Linked DNA regions of Mus musculus: regions 2, 3, 4 and 5 are each reported to be linked to region 1. Evidence: microRNA targets listed by miRTarBase, many of them from high-throughput screens and not tested one by one. Region 1 holds a microRNA gene; each other region holds the end of a gene's coding sequence.
What was found. Region 1 holds the annotated microRNA mmu-miR-21a-5p (UAGCUUAUCAGACUGAUGUUGA, at 2,172-2,193, opposite strand). A microRNA usually pairs through its seed, bases 2 to 8, with sites in the 3' UTR of a target mRNA and lowers its output. Matches are read on the target gene's strand: a 7mer-m8 pairs with bases 2 to 8, a 7mer-A1 pairs with bases 2 to 7 and ends in A, and an 8mer does both.

Region 2: the mRNA of Rpp40 is a reported target of mmu-miR-21a-5p. Seed matches in the 3' UTR shown: 7mer-m8 at 1,538-1,544.
Region 3: miRTarBase lists Rc3h1 as a target of mmu-miR-21a-5p. The part of its 3' UTR that is shown has no 7-base or 8-base seed match.
Region 4: the mRNA of Sox2 is a reported target of mmu-miR-21a-5p. Seed matches in the 3' UTR shown: 7mer-m8 at 2,135-2,141.
Region 5: the mRNA of Pten is a reported target of mmu-miR-21a-5p. The part of its 3' UTR that is shown has no 7-base or 8-base seed match.

Annotation. Positions count from the first base shown.
Region 1 is chr11:86,581,949-86,585,084 of GRCm38, forward strand. Mir21a (microRNA 21a) reads right to left here and starts at 2,210; the gene lies at 2,119-2,210. Vmp1 (vacuole membrane protein 1) reads right to left here. Exons shown (of 12, transcript NM_029478.6): 12 at 1,910-3,136.
Region 2 is chr13:35,893,887-35,897,022 of GRCm38, reverse strand. It overlaps Rpp40 (ribonuclease P 40 subunit), which reads left to right. Exons shown (of 8, transcript NM_145938.4): 8 at 98-1,919. The coding sequence ends at 296. Among named protein-coding and RNA genes, the nearest start is that of Rpp40, 11 kb to the left of the region's middle.
Region 3 is chr1:160,967,296-160,970,431 of GRCm38, reverse strand. Rc3h1 (RING CCCH (C3H) domains 1) reads right to left here. Exons shown (of 20, transcript NM_001024952.2): 20 at 1-2,785. The coding sequence ends at 2,635. Among named protein-coding and RNA genes, the nearest start is that of Serpinc1, 9.7 kb to the left of the region's middle.
Region 4 is chr3:34,650,879-34,654,014 of GRCm38, reverse strand. It overlaps Sox2 (SRY (sex determining region Y)-box 2), which reads right to left. Exons shown (of 1, transcript NM_011443.4): 1 at 1,554-3,136. The coding sequence ends at 2,640. It overlaps Sox2ot (SOX2 overlapping transcript (non-protein coding)), which reads right to left. Exons shown (of 5, transcript NR_015580.2): 4 at 731-837. Among named protein-coding and RNA genes, the nearest start is that of Sox2, 2.5 kb to the right of the region's middle. RefSeq lists enhancers at 1-11, 1-300.
Region 5 is chr19:32,819,750-32,822,885 of GRCm38, reverse strand. It overlaps Pten (phosphatase and tensin homolog), which reads right to left. Exons shown (of 9, transcript NM_008960.2): 9 at 1-3,043. The coding sequence ends at 2,858. Among named protein-coding and RNA genes, the nearest start is that of Pten, 64 kb to the right of the region's middle.

The sequences.
Region 1 (3,136 bases):
TTGGCCAAATAGTCTTTTTCCTTACTACAAAAACCTATCTAAGATGCTGAAGGCTTCAAAGGAGCACGTGAAGACCGGTGCAGCCCGGCGGCAGCTCCTGCTAGCGGCAGCGCTAAAAGCCTAGGTTTGAAGTGGAGAACCTGCGATAAGTTTCTGGTGCACTTGCTACATTATGACGTTTCTGCATGTGTCTAAGATCATCTTTGATGATTTAAAAACTGAAGACAGGAGTGGAGAGATGGCAAGCAGGTGGGAGCAAACCCTGCTCATGTGGAAGCCCTGGGTTTAGCTCCTAACACGCCCCACCTGTAATTCCAGCTCCCATGCAATGCCGTGTTCTGACACTGTAATACATGTGCACATACCCCCACACAGATACACGCAACTAAAAAACATATCAGTCTAAAAACCTGAAGTTAAGGCTAGGTGTGATTAGTTCAGGCACTTTGGAGGCAGAGGCAGGCAGAACTCTGAGTCAGAGGCTAAGCTGGTCTACACGGGGAGTCCCAAGACAACTAGGGCTACACAGACAGACCCTGTCTCAAAACATACAGACAAGCAAAATAATGAAACAAAACTGGAGTTATAGGAACATTTACCACAGCAACTTATTAAGCTTAACGCAGGTTTTGTGTTTGGTGGGTGACAGGAATCTCATACTGTCTTTATGCTACAGACAGCAGAGCATGCTGGAGTCAGGAGGAGGTTAAGGAATGCTCACCACAGGAGGTGCTTCTACACTTAGCAGGCGAAAAATACACCATTTGCAGTCTTCTTTTTTTCTAGCTTGTCAGGAGGATGGGACAAGGCCAGTGGTCCTCAACCTTCCTAACGCTGTGACCCTTGAATACGGTTCCCCATGTTGCGGTGATCCCCCAACCACGAGGTTATTTTCATTGCTACTTCATAACTGTAATTTTGCTACTGTTATGAATCATAATGTATTTTAGGAGACAGAGGACTGCTAAGGGGCCATGACCCACAGGTTGAGAACCACTGAACTATATGTTCAGCATCCAAATAAATGGAAGTATCCTTCTTCAGAGCCCCACACTCCAGATTATGTGTACATAAGATTCCAGACCCATTCCATGGCAGTGTCTGATTGAATAAACTGCAGATGGGGCATGCAGCTGGAGTGCAGAGGAACAAAATAAGACTTATGAGATGGAGTCAGAAGGCCCGAGCTCTCTCCAAGTTTCAGGAATATCAAACCATCCACTTGCAAACTTTCTGGGCTCCTACTAGCTAGACTTAAGTAGTAGTATCTTTGGAGACATATAACTATATATTTATGATAGTGGTTAATGAAACCAGGCAACCATGGGACAGAAGAGATATCTCACTGCTTCAGCGGGAATCCAGGACAAATGAACAGAGTTTAGGGCTTGATTAGTCTCCTAGACTTTTAGCTTAGGAAACCATTTTTTTTTTCCTTAAATATTCTATCCTGAAGCAAGTTTTATAAATAAATCCCAAAGACTTAATATAATTCACACTTAACATCTTCTTTCTTCAAATAAACACAAAATAAAATAGTGAGGCAAAGAGATGAAACAATTGCAAAGTAAGGTGGGAATTCTGATGCTAGCTAGCTAACATATGAATTATACTAGTCTAAGCCTGGCAGCACGGTGCATACGAAGTTAATTCTAGCACTTGGGAGGCGAGGGTGTGTTGATCTCTTATGAGTCCAAGACTAGCCTGGTCTCCATAGTGAAGTCTTATCTCAAAATAAATAAGTAAATAAACAAGCAAACAAACAAACAAATAAAAATTTCATTGTTAATTTGGGCATTGCTTTTCAAGTATGGCCAGGTAACAAATTGTTAGTCCCTGTAAAGAAAAAAACATAAACCAACCAGCCAACCAAAAGCCAACAAAGGACAACCTTTCCAAAATCCATGAGGCAAGGTGACTTTTCATTTTTATTTATTTAGTTATGACTGTGACGACTACCCCAATTTCCTAGGAAGTTTTCTCTTGATACTGCTGCTGTTGTACCAAGGTATAAGGGCTCCAAGTCTCACAAGACATAAGGACCACAATTTTTGACTGCAAACCATGATGCTGGGTAATGTTTGAATGAAAACATTTGATATGGATGGTCAGATGAAAGATACCAAAATGTCAGACAGCCCATCGACTGCTGTTGCCATGAGATTCAACAGTCAACATCAGTCTGATAAGCTATCCGACAAGGTGGTACAGCCATGCGATGTCACGACCACGACAGGGGGCAAGCACGAGGTGCTCAGGCAGGGTTTAAAGCAAAGCAAACATCTCTGGTTTGCTGGGGCTTAATGCCAATTCTAGGAAAGAAAGCTGTTTATTTTCCTACCAGGCAAAACAAAATGAACAGGGTCAATCAAAAAAATGTCAAAGGAAAATCACATTGAAATAAAACACAGAAATCACACAGAGAAGTAAGCTTCCACCTGTTAAAGCCGGAGTACAAACAGCTAAAACTAACATGAACATGAAAAAGCCTTTCTTGCTAGTGTCCTCTGATTTATACATCACCACTTCTTGTTTTTATAAAGTAAGAGATTCCCACTCTAGGTGAACCTCATAGTCCCGCTTAGATCTCCAGCCCAACAACAAAACACCTTGGAGGTAGCTCTCTCAGGCAATACATAAAAGCCTGGGCAATTCTGGTTTAAGTCTAATTGGCAAGGCTGCCACTCGCTTTGTAGAAGTGAAAAAGAAACAAAAAACCATAGCACTAAAGAAAACGGACACAATTTCGGAATGATCAAAGATGTCTTTATAAAGTTTTTCACGACTTCATTCTAAATATACAGAATAAAAAATGGCGTACTCATTTGTGAGACACCAACCAGATTTTCCTTATACTGTTTCAAAATTTAAAGATCAATTTCCCCAGAGGGTGTGCAATGCGTCATAAAATGGCCTTTTTGAGGGTGGGAAAGGAAGGCATATTAAATTGTTCCATGATAGACATGCAAGATTGCTATCCAATATATATAACTTATATACATTTGGTGACTTAGAAAAAAACAATCATTTGTGACAAGCCTAAAAAGCCTGACATATTTAACATACTTCAGAAGGTTCTGTGTGGCCCTGTGAAGGTATCAGAAGGCCAGTTTTTGTTAAGTTTGCAGCAGAACAT
Region 2 (3,136 bases), not on the chromosome of region 1:
ATAGAGTCTCAGCTTAATTAGAGCAGTAGATACAATGTGGATGTTCTTGACCTCTTGTTTATAAGAATTTTCTTTCTTTCTTTTCTTTCTTTTTCAGTCACTACTTCGATGAACCAAAGTTGGCTCCATGGGTCACCTTGACAGTTCAAGGCTTTGCAGACAGCCCCGTTGCCTGGAGAGAGAAGGAACATGGCTTCCATAAAGGAGGCGAGCACTTGTACAATTTTGTGGTTTTCAATAATCAGGACTATTGGCTTCAGATGGCTGTTGGGGCAAATGATGACTGCCCACCATAAAAGATGCAAAGTTTATAGAGTCACACCTTGCTTGTTTGTTGTCATGTTTCCTCATCACAAAGTGTTATATGTCACCCAGACTTGCTACAGTGATTAGCTTCCCAGCTCAGCTCTGGCTTGCTTCCTCCTGTGCCGTGGCCCCTGTGCACTGGCTGCTTATCCTACGATCAGCTCTGAGCTGGTTTTTCAGTTGAATGCAGAGTGTTGCTTACTAGAGAGTAGGGTAAACCGGAATGATTGAGAATAGCAGGAGTGGAGCACTTGGTGAGTGTTCTAGGTGCTAATCATGGATGAACTCTTCTAGTTTGGTTTTCTGTTGGCCAGAGCAACGTCTGTGAGGACAGGACCGACTGCAGTCCATCATCAGTGATGGAACCTAGAGACAGGAACTGAAGCAGAGACCATGGAGGAATGCCACTCGGCTTGCTCACCTAGCTTTCTTATATAGCCCAGGACCTGCTTAGGATTAATACCGCCCACTGTTGGCTGGACCCCCCTTGATGAACCAGCATTCAAGAAAATACCCCATAGACATGCTTAGGAGCCAGATTGATGGAGGTGGTTCCTCAACTGAGGTTTCTTCCGCCCAAGTGTATCAGCAGATAACCAAGATGAACCATCAGAATTTTTGTGTGTCCCCAGGATCTCATGTTGATATAAAATACAGTGCAAATTGAAAAGTCACACCGTCTTTTAAGAACACCACTACGTAAAAATTCAGTGTCTCTTAAAAGTCCAAACTTCCTTAACCATGACTTCCTATAAAATCAAGGTTGAATACCTTCTTACAGCAAAAGGGAAGAACCACACTTAAAACCAAAGTCCAAAAAGGTAGCTCCAGAATCACAGGGCCTGACATCTGGGACTCACTCACCGTCTTCTGGACTCCAAGGCAATTCTCAGCACACAGCATGTCTAGTAGGCTAAGGCTGGGTCCTTGCTGACGTGACAGCCATCTTGACTCTTAGAGCACACGCTGCTCACGTGCTTATGTGACAGTGGTGTGAACAAACCCTCCTTTGCTGCCAGTGGTGTGAAGTTCAGTAATTAGAAGTGTGTACAGCACATGACACTTAATAACTTACTGGCTTATGAGTTTACTCCTTCTACTTATAGAAAAGTATGAATCACCGTGGGATGATATTGGGAGCAGCTATTGATCACCACGTCTTTTAACCACATCCATTACCTTTTGCAGCTTCCCTTAATTTCATTTTTTGTTCATCATGATCCTGGAAGCAATAAGCTTCTCTCTCTCTCTCTCTCTCTCTCTCTCTCTCTCTCTCTCTCTCTCTCTCTGTGTGTGTGTGTGTGTGTGTGTGTGTCTGTGTCTGTGTCTGTGTCTGTGTCTGTGTCTGTGTATCATATATCCTAGATGTCTAGAAGGCAATAAACCATCTGGTTTTATGCAAGTATCTCCTGCAGTGATCACGTAACAACCAAATTGCCTGTCAATACTTGCCTTAGCCCATGTCCCTGTCATCATGTGACCCAATACTATGTATACCTGCCCCCTACCCTGAATCTTCCAACCGTTCTATTCTTTCTCCCTCAAGAATGTAAGCACCAGCCCAGCAGGAAGTCAGAGGTGGTTTTGGTTTTGGGGTGCTTCTGCTCTCATGTCAACTGCAATTAGGAATATGACTTATGGCTATTAATTCTCTTGAGTAATCCCAGGTTGCTTTTTTAAAATTTCCTTTTAGACTAGTTGATGGGGTTCTTGCCTAGAGTCCCATCCCTGGCACCACAAACAAAACTAGATTTCAAGCTACACATGCCAATGCCATATTAATTAGCTTCCTTTAGAAGAGTTTGTTGCCAGGATAGGATGCAGGGCCTCTGAATACCAGGCTCTTGCTCTACCACTGAGCTACAATACCAGCCCCTATTTTCCATTTTAAGAAATCTATGGAGTTTAAAGAATAAAATAAGAAAATTAACTTAGAGCTGCCTTCTAGGAAGAAGTATCAGGAAATGGAGGTAGGAGTGGGAGTGACCTACAACCCAACTAAGGTAGTTTTCTCACATTTAGAACAAGAAGTATGTTGACAGTGGTGAACCAACAAAGCCAGGTGGTGGTTCTTCTTGGTAGGAGCCAAGACCATTCCCAGAGTCTCTTAGCGCAGCCTCCTAGGACATGTGCTGCAGGCATATCTAGACTAGCAGGGAAGCTGTGTGCAAGTGTACTGCACTTTCCAGCAGGAAGCCTGTGCTTGTAGCAGGATTTGAGCAGACCCTTTGTATCTGACTTCAGTCTGGAGGGATGGCCCCTAGGCTTCGGAAGTAGCCTTTTGCCAGTGATTGTTATTTGAGATTTTATGGGGTTATTCTTCTGAAGGATTCTCAGAGCCTTTGTGTATCTTAGGCTAGCAAAATTATGCCTGGCAAACCAGGAAGTCTCATGTGGCTGAGCATCGTTGAGGTGAAGGGTCTTTCAAGACAACCCCTAGGTGAGATAAGTTTTCTTAAGTGGAAGTGGACTTGCTGAAGGTGCCTTCTTGTGTAACAATAAACTTCTAGGAAGCTGTCAGGGTTCAGTCCTTCAGAGCCTGATATCTCCACTGCTTGAGAAGCCCAAATTCATCCTTCAGTGCCTTCCATCAACCAATAGTCTGAAGTAATTCAGAGCACTGACCTGTGCCATGTGCTACCTACTTGTTACTGAAGAAATGGCCAGAAGCCAAATGAGCCTCATTTTCATCTCACAATCCGTGTCTTGTTTTGCTGCAGCCCCGGGTTAAGATTTCTCATTTGGACACAGGCTTCTAATTCCAGGTGGCATTTTCCTTGTCAAGCTCTTCATGAGTCAATTGTCATCTGTTGTAAAAGCTACCAAGCAT
Region 3 (3,136 bases), not on the chromosome of region 1:
GGCTTGGGGAACTCATACTACCATTTAAAAGACTAATTTTCTCCCTAAATAAAAATATACCTAAAAGGATACTAGTGCACCGCAGCAGAGTACATTTTGGGGGTCTCATACACACTACAATGAAAATTTACTTTTATTCTTAACTCCAAGAAAACCAATATGCAGATTTCCCCCTAGTTATTCCAATTTTAAAAACAACAACAACAAAAACCCATCTGCTTCTAAGACTTAGGAATTATCTTGAAATGTCCAAAGGAGGTAAGACCCACCCAAATCTGTCTACTGAAGGCAAGAGGCCAATAATGTGGCGTTTTATAGATATGCAGAAAAATAAAAATCCTGTCAGGCATAACATTTCTCTCCTCATCTCAATAAATAATGAGTAAAGTATAAATGTAAGAGTCATTTTATCTTAAAAAAAAAAGTCCAAAAAAAGCAAATGTACAAATGTGTATTTAAAATTAAAAGGAAAATGTATGCATCAACTGAGAAATGCCTCACCGTCATTCGGTGCCTCTACCTCCCAATCAGTCATCTTATTGCAACAGCTGCGCTCATGCGAAGAAATCTTTAAAACATACCCGATATATATACAGATATAGCCATGTATATATGTATATATATAATATATATATAAATTTTTATTTAAATAAAAAAGAAAGCTCGAATCCCAAGCCAATATGTGTATATCAAATCCTTGACCAGCCAGGTCTGTAGGGCATAATCAAATTCAATGTGAAATAGTATATAAACACGGTGCCTTGACTGGGCAAATTAAATAATCGCTACTCAAATGAGTGTTCTGTTTGGATTTCCTACTGGTAGGCAATGGCAGGACTATTTTTCCCTTCCCACCCCTCCCACTCTTATCCCACCCCCACCCACTTGTTTCAATTAACAAGATGATGGACACAGAGCTTAGACTGAGGTGACGCAGACCTCAGCAGAGTTAAGGGTTCAGGAAATAGAAATAAGAAAAATATAAACGTTTGCTTTTACCCAACCAAAGCAATGCAGTAACTTATTACATAACCAGTGCTTTCTTGTTTTGTAGCATCATCTAGAAAGGGAAACTGACGTCAGGCAATCAGAGGGATGGAGTGATTCTACGAAACATTGCCTTGCTGAACTCATTTTAGAGGGGCTTAGTAAATTAAGCAAACAGTGGTTAGCATTAGAATATGTGCAGCAGAACTAAATAAAAATTCTTCCTCACTCTTCAACTTTTTCATAAACATTTTTAATGTCAGAAAGCCAGGTCTATAAAAACTCACTTCAAGTTATTTATAGTTATTCTAGTAATTCTGATTACTGACAAGTGACCAAAGCATGAACTACCCTGAAGACTCAGTCAGTTTCTATCTGCCAAATCTTTAACGCTTTTGAAAGGAAAACAAAAATTCCATTGAAATAATATGTCCTTGTTTACTGAAGCTCCTATCGAGTGTTAAGTTTTATTTTAATTAAAAAATTTTCTTCATTGTGTCTGGTGTCCACAAGGGCCAGAAAAGGGTGTCATGTCCCTGAAAGTGGAACTGGGAGACACCCTGCAGGTGCTGCCAAGAACCCGGGAGAGCAGCCGGTGCTCTTCTGCTGAGCCGGCTCCCAGCTTTAGAGTATGGTTCACTGTCCTGGTTTTTCTATTCTAGGGTTTCAAGACAAGTTTAATTTGTAAACACAGCTCGAATTTTCCAACATGAGCTCCACATAGGAGAACAGGAAATGCCTATTTTCACTATTAACAAGCTGAAGTTCATTTCTTTTCTTCTTATTCTGTTTTTTCCTGCCTCAACATCTTGAGGCCAGGGATTACAGGAATGAGCCATTATATCCAATTCAGAGTTCATTCTTAAAATAAAATAATCTTCATTTAAATCTAACTAAACATTGTAAACACTAAATAGGCTTTCAGATTTTAAGGAGATAATGCAAGGAATGCTTGACACCAAAATGTGGCTCAAACAATCAACTGCATGTTGACATCTCTGAAAAGTTGAAACTAAAACCATATCCACTCAAATAAACTTTTAATGTTGTAAAAAACAAGTATCTATCCACAGAGCTAGTGATCCAGAAACAGGGCTGGGGTTAAAGAATAGCTCTAATAAAATTAGTTTGCTGCACAGTTTCTAATAACCCAATCTATTACCACAGAATTCTTGGAAACGGTGCATTTTTGTCTATTTTAGTTTACAGGGTTGTGAGAGTTGGAAAGGACTGGGGAAAAGGAATTATACACTGGGTATGTAATAATACCAAAATACAAGAAAAACCTACTTCATTAAGATCATACAATTAATCAAACAGAGTGTATATATAATATCTTCTTTTTTTTTAAAGCCCCGGATCCAAGGCGTCCAAAGTTATTAAAATAAAGTTCATTCACAGAACAAAAACAAATTTAATCTGAATTGCTTGCAGATACTGCTAATTTTTTTTTCTTAAAATTAAAAAAATGCATCAATGTGAACTATGTGCAGGTTTGTTTAGTAGTGGTGTTTGTGCACATTGCCTCCGGTGCTTTTCCTGGACTTCACTGACCACTCAGAGAAAAAGTTTAGAAGTTATCCATTTTTCTATCCCTATGCCCCATGAACTGATTAGGAGCAGAAGGTAGAAGCAGGTGCCCATATTCTAGGGAGCAGAATTGGAAACAACTCCTGATCTCTGGGAATCATTGTTATCTCCTCCTCCCTCAGAGTCTTCTGACAGATTCAAAGAGCTGGTCTTGTTTGATAGGAGGCTGAGATTCTCTTGTGTCAAGGCTGATCCATTTGGTACATCACTGTAAATTACATGAAAAAATAGTTGGAATTTATAGAAAGAGAAAAGCAATTACTCTAAATAAAATCCAATCAATAGGGCTTATTATTTAGCACTGTAGAAAAACATGAGGCTGGAGTAGAGCACATGCCTTTAGTTCAAGCAGAAGGCAGAAGCAGCTGGTCTTTATCAGTTTTAGGTTAGATTGGTTCCAGGCCAACCAAGGCTAGCTACACAATGAGACTGTCTCAAACAGCCAAAATAAAAATAACTACATAAATAGCTTCCAAATATTGATTCTAACTCCTCATCCACACTGTAGCATAGATGATAAACTAAAACTGACAAGCTTCCTACTCTATACGTATAGGTT
Region 4 (3,136 bases), not on the chromosome of region 1:
TGCATTAATTAGAGGGGAACCTGCCTAGCTTGGACTGGGAACTGAATAAATGTCCCTTCCCAGTACCTTACCCTAAAAACGAAAATAAAGAATCAAACAACCAACTCTACACCTGAAATGAAAAGACCGAGAAGAAATATAAACACAGAAAACAGGACCTTCATAATCCTCCAAAGAACATTATTAGTAGCTCTTTAAGAAAGAAATTACTTTCTTGCAAAAGAGGCGACACAGGCCTAGAGGCTGAGAGAACTGGCGGCGGCCGGTACTCGGCTGAAGGGCAGAAAGCGCCCCGGGATCCTAACTTCTGCAGAGATGCAGCTAGTGGACGCTCTAGAAATAAGAAGCAATGCAGAACTCACAAGGACGCCCCATTTCTGGTTCTTGGTGCCTTTGGATAGAAGATGACCGAAACCAGGAGCCAATTAAAAAAAAAAAAAAAAAAAAAAAAAAAAAAAAAAAAAAAAGCAAAGCGGGCCAGCGACTTCCTCGGCTACGCTAGAGCCGCTGGTTGAACTTAAAGACCACGGCGGTTCCCCCAACTTTTCCGCTCCAACCGAGGACGTCGCCAGCCTCTTACTTTTCCTGGAGCAAAAGAAAACAGCAAATCCAATCTCCTTTCCCCACCCTCTCTCCTCCCCCTCTCTCTACTACTGTAGTAAAACAGTTAACAGATCAAAAGCACAATCATGTCCAAATGTGATGAGAGCGCACAATGCGAAATATCTACCTCGGAGTTGAGAGCTTTCTTCTGTAATATGTCTGTTGCCTGGCTTCTCTTTTGCGTGTACCAGCTGCAGAGATTTTCCGATTTGGGACTACAGGCTTGGACCCGCGCTGCCAAATTAAGAAGTGGAATCCGGAGTGGGGGGGGGGGTGGGGGAGAAAGGGGGGGGGAATAAATAAATAAAAAGTCCATGATAATTAAGGGAATTTTGCAAGCCGCTCTTCTCTTTTCCCTCACCCCAAACAGGAAAACGTAGAGGACAAAGTTTATGAAGTCAGGAAACAAAGACAGAAAACCACTTGTTTCCTCACACAATAGCAGACAGAGCTAGGAGTCACCCAACCACCTACCCCGCAGAACGCTCGGCGCGTCTACTTTGTAATTATTCCGATACAAGAAGCATCATTTTCCCCTATAAACCACATTTCAAAGGGCCATTGTGTTGTGAAGAAAATGAAAACCAACCCAGCCAACCTGGTTCTGATTTGGCGCAGTATCTCATCTGCTAAGCTACACGAAAATTTTCAGAATTGACTCGTTCTGGCAACAAGTGCTAAAGCGAGCTTAAGCCCACATCGCGCTTATTCACGCTGCTCAGGGAAGGAGGGGGGTGAACTTACAATATATGCTTCTAGTTTCTATTCTAGAAATGTCAACGCATTTCAGTTCCCCGTTATTAATCATTCGGCCATTTTTTTCTTCTGCAGTTAAAGCTAACAGACATTGCTGGTAACATCAAGATCTTGGTGGCTGAACAGTTATCCAGTTCCCCAAGAAGTTATGTATAAGCATGCTAGCCACAAAGAAATGAAAGACTCAGGCATAATTTCAGTGTCCATATTTCAAAAATTTATTTATCTCAAACTGTGCATAATGGAGTAAAAACTTAAGTTGAAAATGTAGCTGTTATAAGGATGGTATTAGTTCAAATATATACATGGATTCTCGGCAGCCTGATTCCAATAACAGAGCCGAATCTTTTAAAATACAACTACGGAAAATAAAAGGGGGGAAAAACCTTAAAATATCACAATTTACAGAAATATTACAAACCATAAGAAAATATTTCAAACACAGTAATTCCATATTTTTTATGTGAACAAAATGAAAGGGTAGGATTGAACAAAAGCTATTATAAATTACCAACGATATCAACCTGCATGGACATTTTTTTTTTGCCTTTAACAGTAAGTTAAAAATTTAGTACAATCTAGAACGTTTGCCTTAAACAAGACCACGAAAACGGTCTTGCCAGTACTTGCTCTCATGTTTTCCTTTTGTACAATTTTAAAACTAAAATGTTCAAATCCGAATAAACTCCTTCCTTGTTTGTAACGGTCCTAAATTTAAGCTGCAGAATCAAAACCCAGCAAGAACCCTTTCCTCGAAAAATATTGGCAAATTCTCAGCTTATAAACAATGGACATTTGATTGCCATGTTTATCTCGATAAATACTGTACAAAAGTTGCTTGCAAATATTAAAACTTTTTTTTCATCGCCCGGAGTCTAGCTCTAAATATTACTGGTAAAGACTTTTGCGAACTCCCTGCGAAGCGCCTAACGTACCACTAGAACTTTAAAAAAAAGTTTTGCGTAGTTTTTTTCCTCCAGATCTATACATGGTCCGATTCCCCCGCCCTCCCCGCCGCCCTCAGGTTTTCTCTGTACAAAAATAGTCCCCCAAAAAGAAGTCCCAAGATCTCTCATAAAAGTTTTCTAGTCGGCATCACGGTTTTTGCGTTAATTTGGATGGGATTGGTGGTTTTTTTCCGCAGCTGTCGTTTCGCTGCGGAGATTTTTTTTCCTTTTGAGCATTATCAGATTTTTCCTACTCTCCTCTTTTTGCACCCCTCCCAATTCCCTTGTATCTCTTTGAAAATCTCTCCCCTTCTCCAGTTCGCAGTCCAGCCCTCACATGTGCGACAGGGGCAGTGTGCCGTTAATGGCCGTGCCGGGCACCGGGCCGCTCTGGTAGTGCTGGGCCATGTGCAGTCTACTGGGCGCAGCGGGCTCCGGCACCTCGGCGCCGGGGAGGTACATGCTGATCATGTCCCGGAGGTCCCCGGCCTGGCAGGGCGCCCTGGAGTGGGAGGAAGAGGTAACCACGGGGGGGCTGGAGCTGGCCTCGGACTTGACCACAGAGCCCATGGAGCCCAGCGCCATACCGGGGGTGCCCTGCTGCGAGTAGGACATGCTGTAGGTGGGCGAGCCGTTCATGTAGGTCTGCGAGCTGGTCATGGAGTTGTACTGCAGGGCGCTGACGTCGTAGCGGTGCATCGGTTGCATCTGTGCCGCGCCGTGAGCGTTGAGGCCCGGGTGCTGCGGGTAGCCCAGCTGCTCCTGCATCATGCTGTAGCTGCCGTTGCTCCAGCCGTTCATGTGCGCGTAGCTGTCCATGCGCTGGTTCA
Region 5 (3,136 bases), not on the chromosome of region 1:
ATTTTCTAAAACTAAACATGTAACTTGTAACCTACTTTTATTTTTAAAGCTGAAACATTTGATGCTGCCGGTAAACTCCACTTAAGTTTATAACCTGTGCCACAGCAAAGAATGGTGACGCTATTTAATTCAACTACCCTTTTACAATTATGGCAAAAATGTCCAAGAGGAATTACAGAGGACTTGGGATGTACGGGGCCCAACTGTAAGCCTTCTTAAAGGTGATGCCTTCAAGTCATTTCAGACACATAAGCTGCTGCACATCCAAGAGTCTAAGAAAGCATTCCAGAAACACGGGAGAGATCACCTACAGAATGCACTTCAGGCTAATCGTGAATACTGTCATAAAGAAAGTTTGAATTAGGACTCAAAACCCTTTCAGTCATAGCAATTCTTGTCAAATTCTATGGGGATGGTAACTGAAATAAAGTAAGGAGAGTATGTATAATATATATATTTATATATATATAATATATATATAATGCCATTTTTCCATTTCCAATGACTACACCATAAAATGTAAGCAAGGCTTCTCAAAAACACTGAAACATTCAAAATCAAAACCCTCATTCAGACCTTCACATTCCAAAGGAAAAATATTAACAGTGCAACAGCCCATTGTAATGTCATTATTCATGACCTGGCCCTCTGTGTTACATATTGGAACAATACAAGTTATAGTTTAGCATGCTGTGCCCAAAACTAACAAAGAACAGTGTTTATCACTATCTTCAAAACATCAACAGCTGCTTTGCATTTTAGTCAGCCACTTTCAGCTTTTAGGAAAGACAAGGGGGTGTACAGATTTCCATGGTGAGATCTCAGGAAAAGTTGTCTCTGACTTTATCAACAGTCAGTCAATATTCATGTATCAATGTTTAAATATAAATGTGTAAATCCTAAGAGCTTTGTTACAATTTTAAAAACTTTATTGGTTGAGTGAAACTGATGAGGTATGGAAAATACATCAACATTATTTTCTAAGAATATTTTAGATGGCGTTCTGCCTAATCTACTTACCATCAAACTATAAATGCTTCTCTAGTGGGTCCTATGCAATCTGTACTTGTAAATTAACTAGGTCAGACCACAGCTAGTGAACAATTTCAGCACCAATAAGTTATTGAAAATGGGACTTCACACCATTAAGAAATCTAATAATGGCTGGATATTCAAATGTCAAGGTCAAGATATAATTTGAAAGACACCAAATTCCCGAGGGGTTGGGAGGAGATCCTTTGTAATAGCATCTTCACATTACCATTACGATAGTAGTTGTACTCTTGCTTTAAATTGTATGCAGTCTGGGCATATCAAACATAGAATGATATTTAAGAAGTAAAATTGAAGCCCTAATCCCAACTCTACCACTATAACGAAGTGACTCAACACTGCACATTTAAGAAGATCTATTCTTCCAATAGCAAGTCGATAAAGCATCTGTAGGACAATTTCTACTGAAAAACTTCAATGCCTTATTATTCGTGCAGTGCTGTAAATTTACTGCAACTCTAATTTCTTTTTTAACACAAACAATGACTTTTTTAATATACACATTATATGTATTCAGTATTCAAGTAAAATTCCCTAACAGTTAATGACATTTAAAAAAAATGTGCAAAACTGCAAAACTCATTGTAATAGAATGTGTAAGGTCAAAGGGGCTGAACGTCTGACAGCCACTGGACTGAGGACGCGCATCATCAATCTCTAGGAAAAAAAAAAAACAAAACCTGCTTACTGTTGAATCTCAAGTTGAAATTTCCTGTGAAGAATTATAAAATATTTAAGGAGAAAAACAAACTGGCAGCCAGCACATGAAGCATCCACAGTAGGTATATGATTGAAAATTAATAAAAATAAAGGTAAGGTGTTGACTGATGTAGGGACTAATAGCATCTGACTCTTAGCACTGGCCTTGATTACATAGGAGATGGAGCAGTCATTACAACTGAGAAAGCATACTGAATAAATCATTGTCAAATTTTCTGTTTCCAGCCCATCCTTTGTTGAAAGCCTCCACATTTGTATGGTTAAGTCATTGCTGCTGTGTCTTTTATCTATCTATGACCACTTTTTTTATATCCCTTCCTTTGTGGATTCTTAAGATGCTGTAGATGGTTCATTCCTGTACCCCACTACAAATATACTCACTCTAGCTGCCTTGTCTAGCACCAATATGCTCTTTAAAATGCACAAACAAACAGCAGGACAGCAGCCAATCTCTCGGATGTCCAGATTAGTAAGTGGAGCATGCTAAAGAAAGGTGCATCTAAGGAGCTGGAGATGGTGTATGGTCCAGAGCCCAGGTAGAAACATTCCTTTCTGAGCATTCCCTCCATTCCCAACCCAAGTGCATGCATTAGAATCTAACAAAACCCTGCAGAAACTTCCTTAGCCAACTGCAAACTTATCTGTTGCCACAAGTGCAAAGGGGTAGGACGTGAACCCGGGAATCAGAGCTCTTCAGCCACTTCAGCTGGTGACAGAAAATAAAGGAAAAACTCCTGCGTATACACATCAGCCTGTCTCCACTTTTTATAAAACTGGAATAAAATGGGAAAGTGCCATCTTTTATTTATCCTAATTGAATTTTAAATGTCCTTTTGACACAAAAAGGTATATACATGACACAGCTACACAACCTTTTTTTAACTGGACAACAAGTGTCAAAACCCTGTGGATGTATAGGGTAAAACAAGATTGGTCAGGAGAAGAGAATTGTTCCTATAACTGCAATCTGACACAATGTCCTATTGCCATTTAAAAAAAAAAAAAAAAAAAAAAGGTCCATTTCAGTTTATTCAAGTTTTTTTTTTTTCATGGTATTTTATCCCTCTTGATAAGAAAAAAAAAATCAGACTTTTGTAATTTGTGAATGCTGATCTTCATCAAAAGGTTCATTCTCTGGATCAGAGTCAGTGGTGTCAGAATATCTATAATGATCAGGTTCATTGTCACTAACATCTGGAGTCACAGAAGTTGAACTGCTAGCCTCTGGATTTGATGGCTCCTCTACTGTTTTTGTAAAGTATAGTTTCACCTAGAGAAAGAAAGTTTAAGATGAAAATGAACAATTAGAATGAGTTCTGTATTAGCAAAGACATTCTGTTTTGCAGATTTACTTGAAAGTACT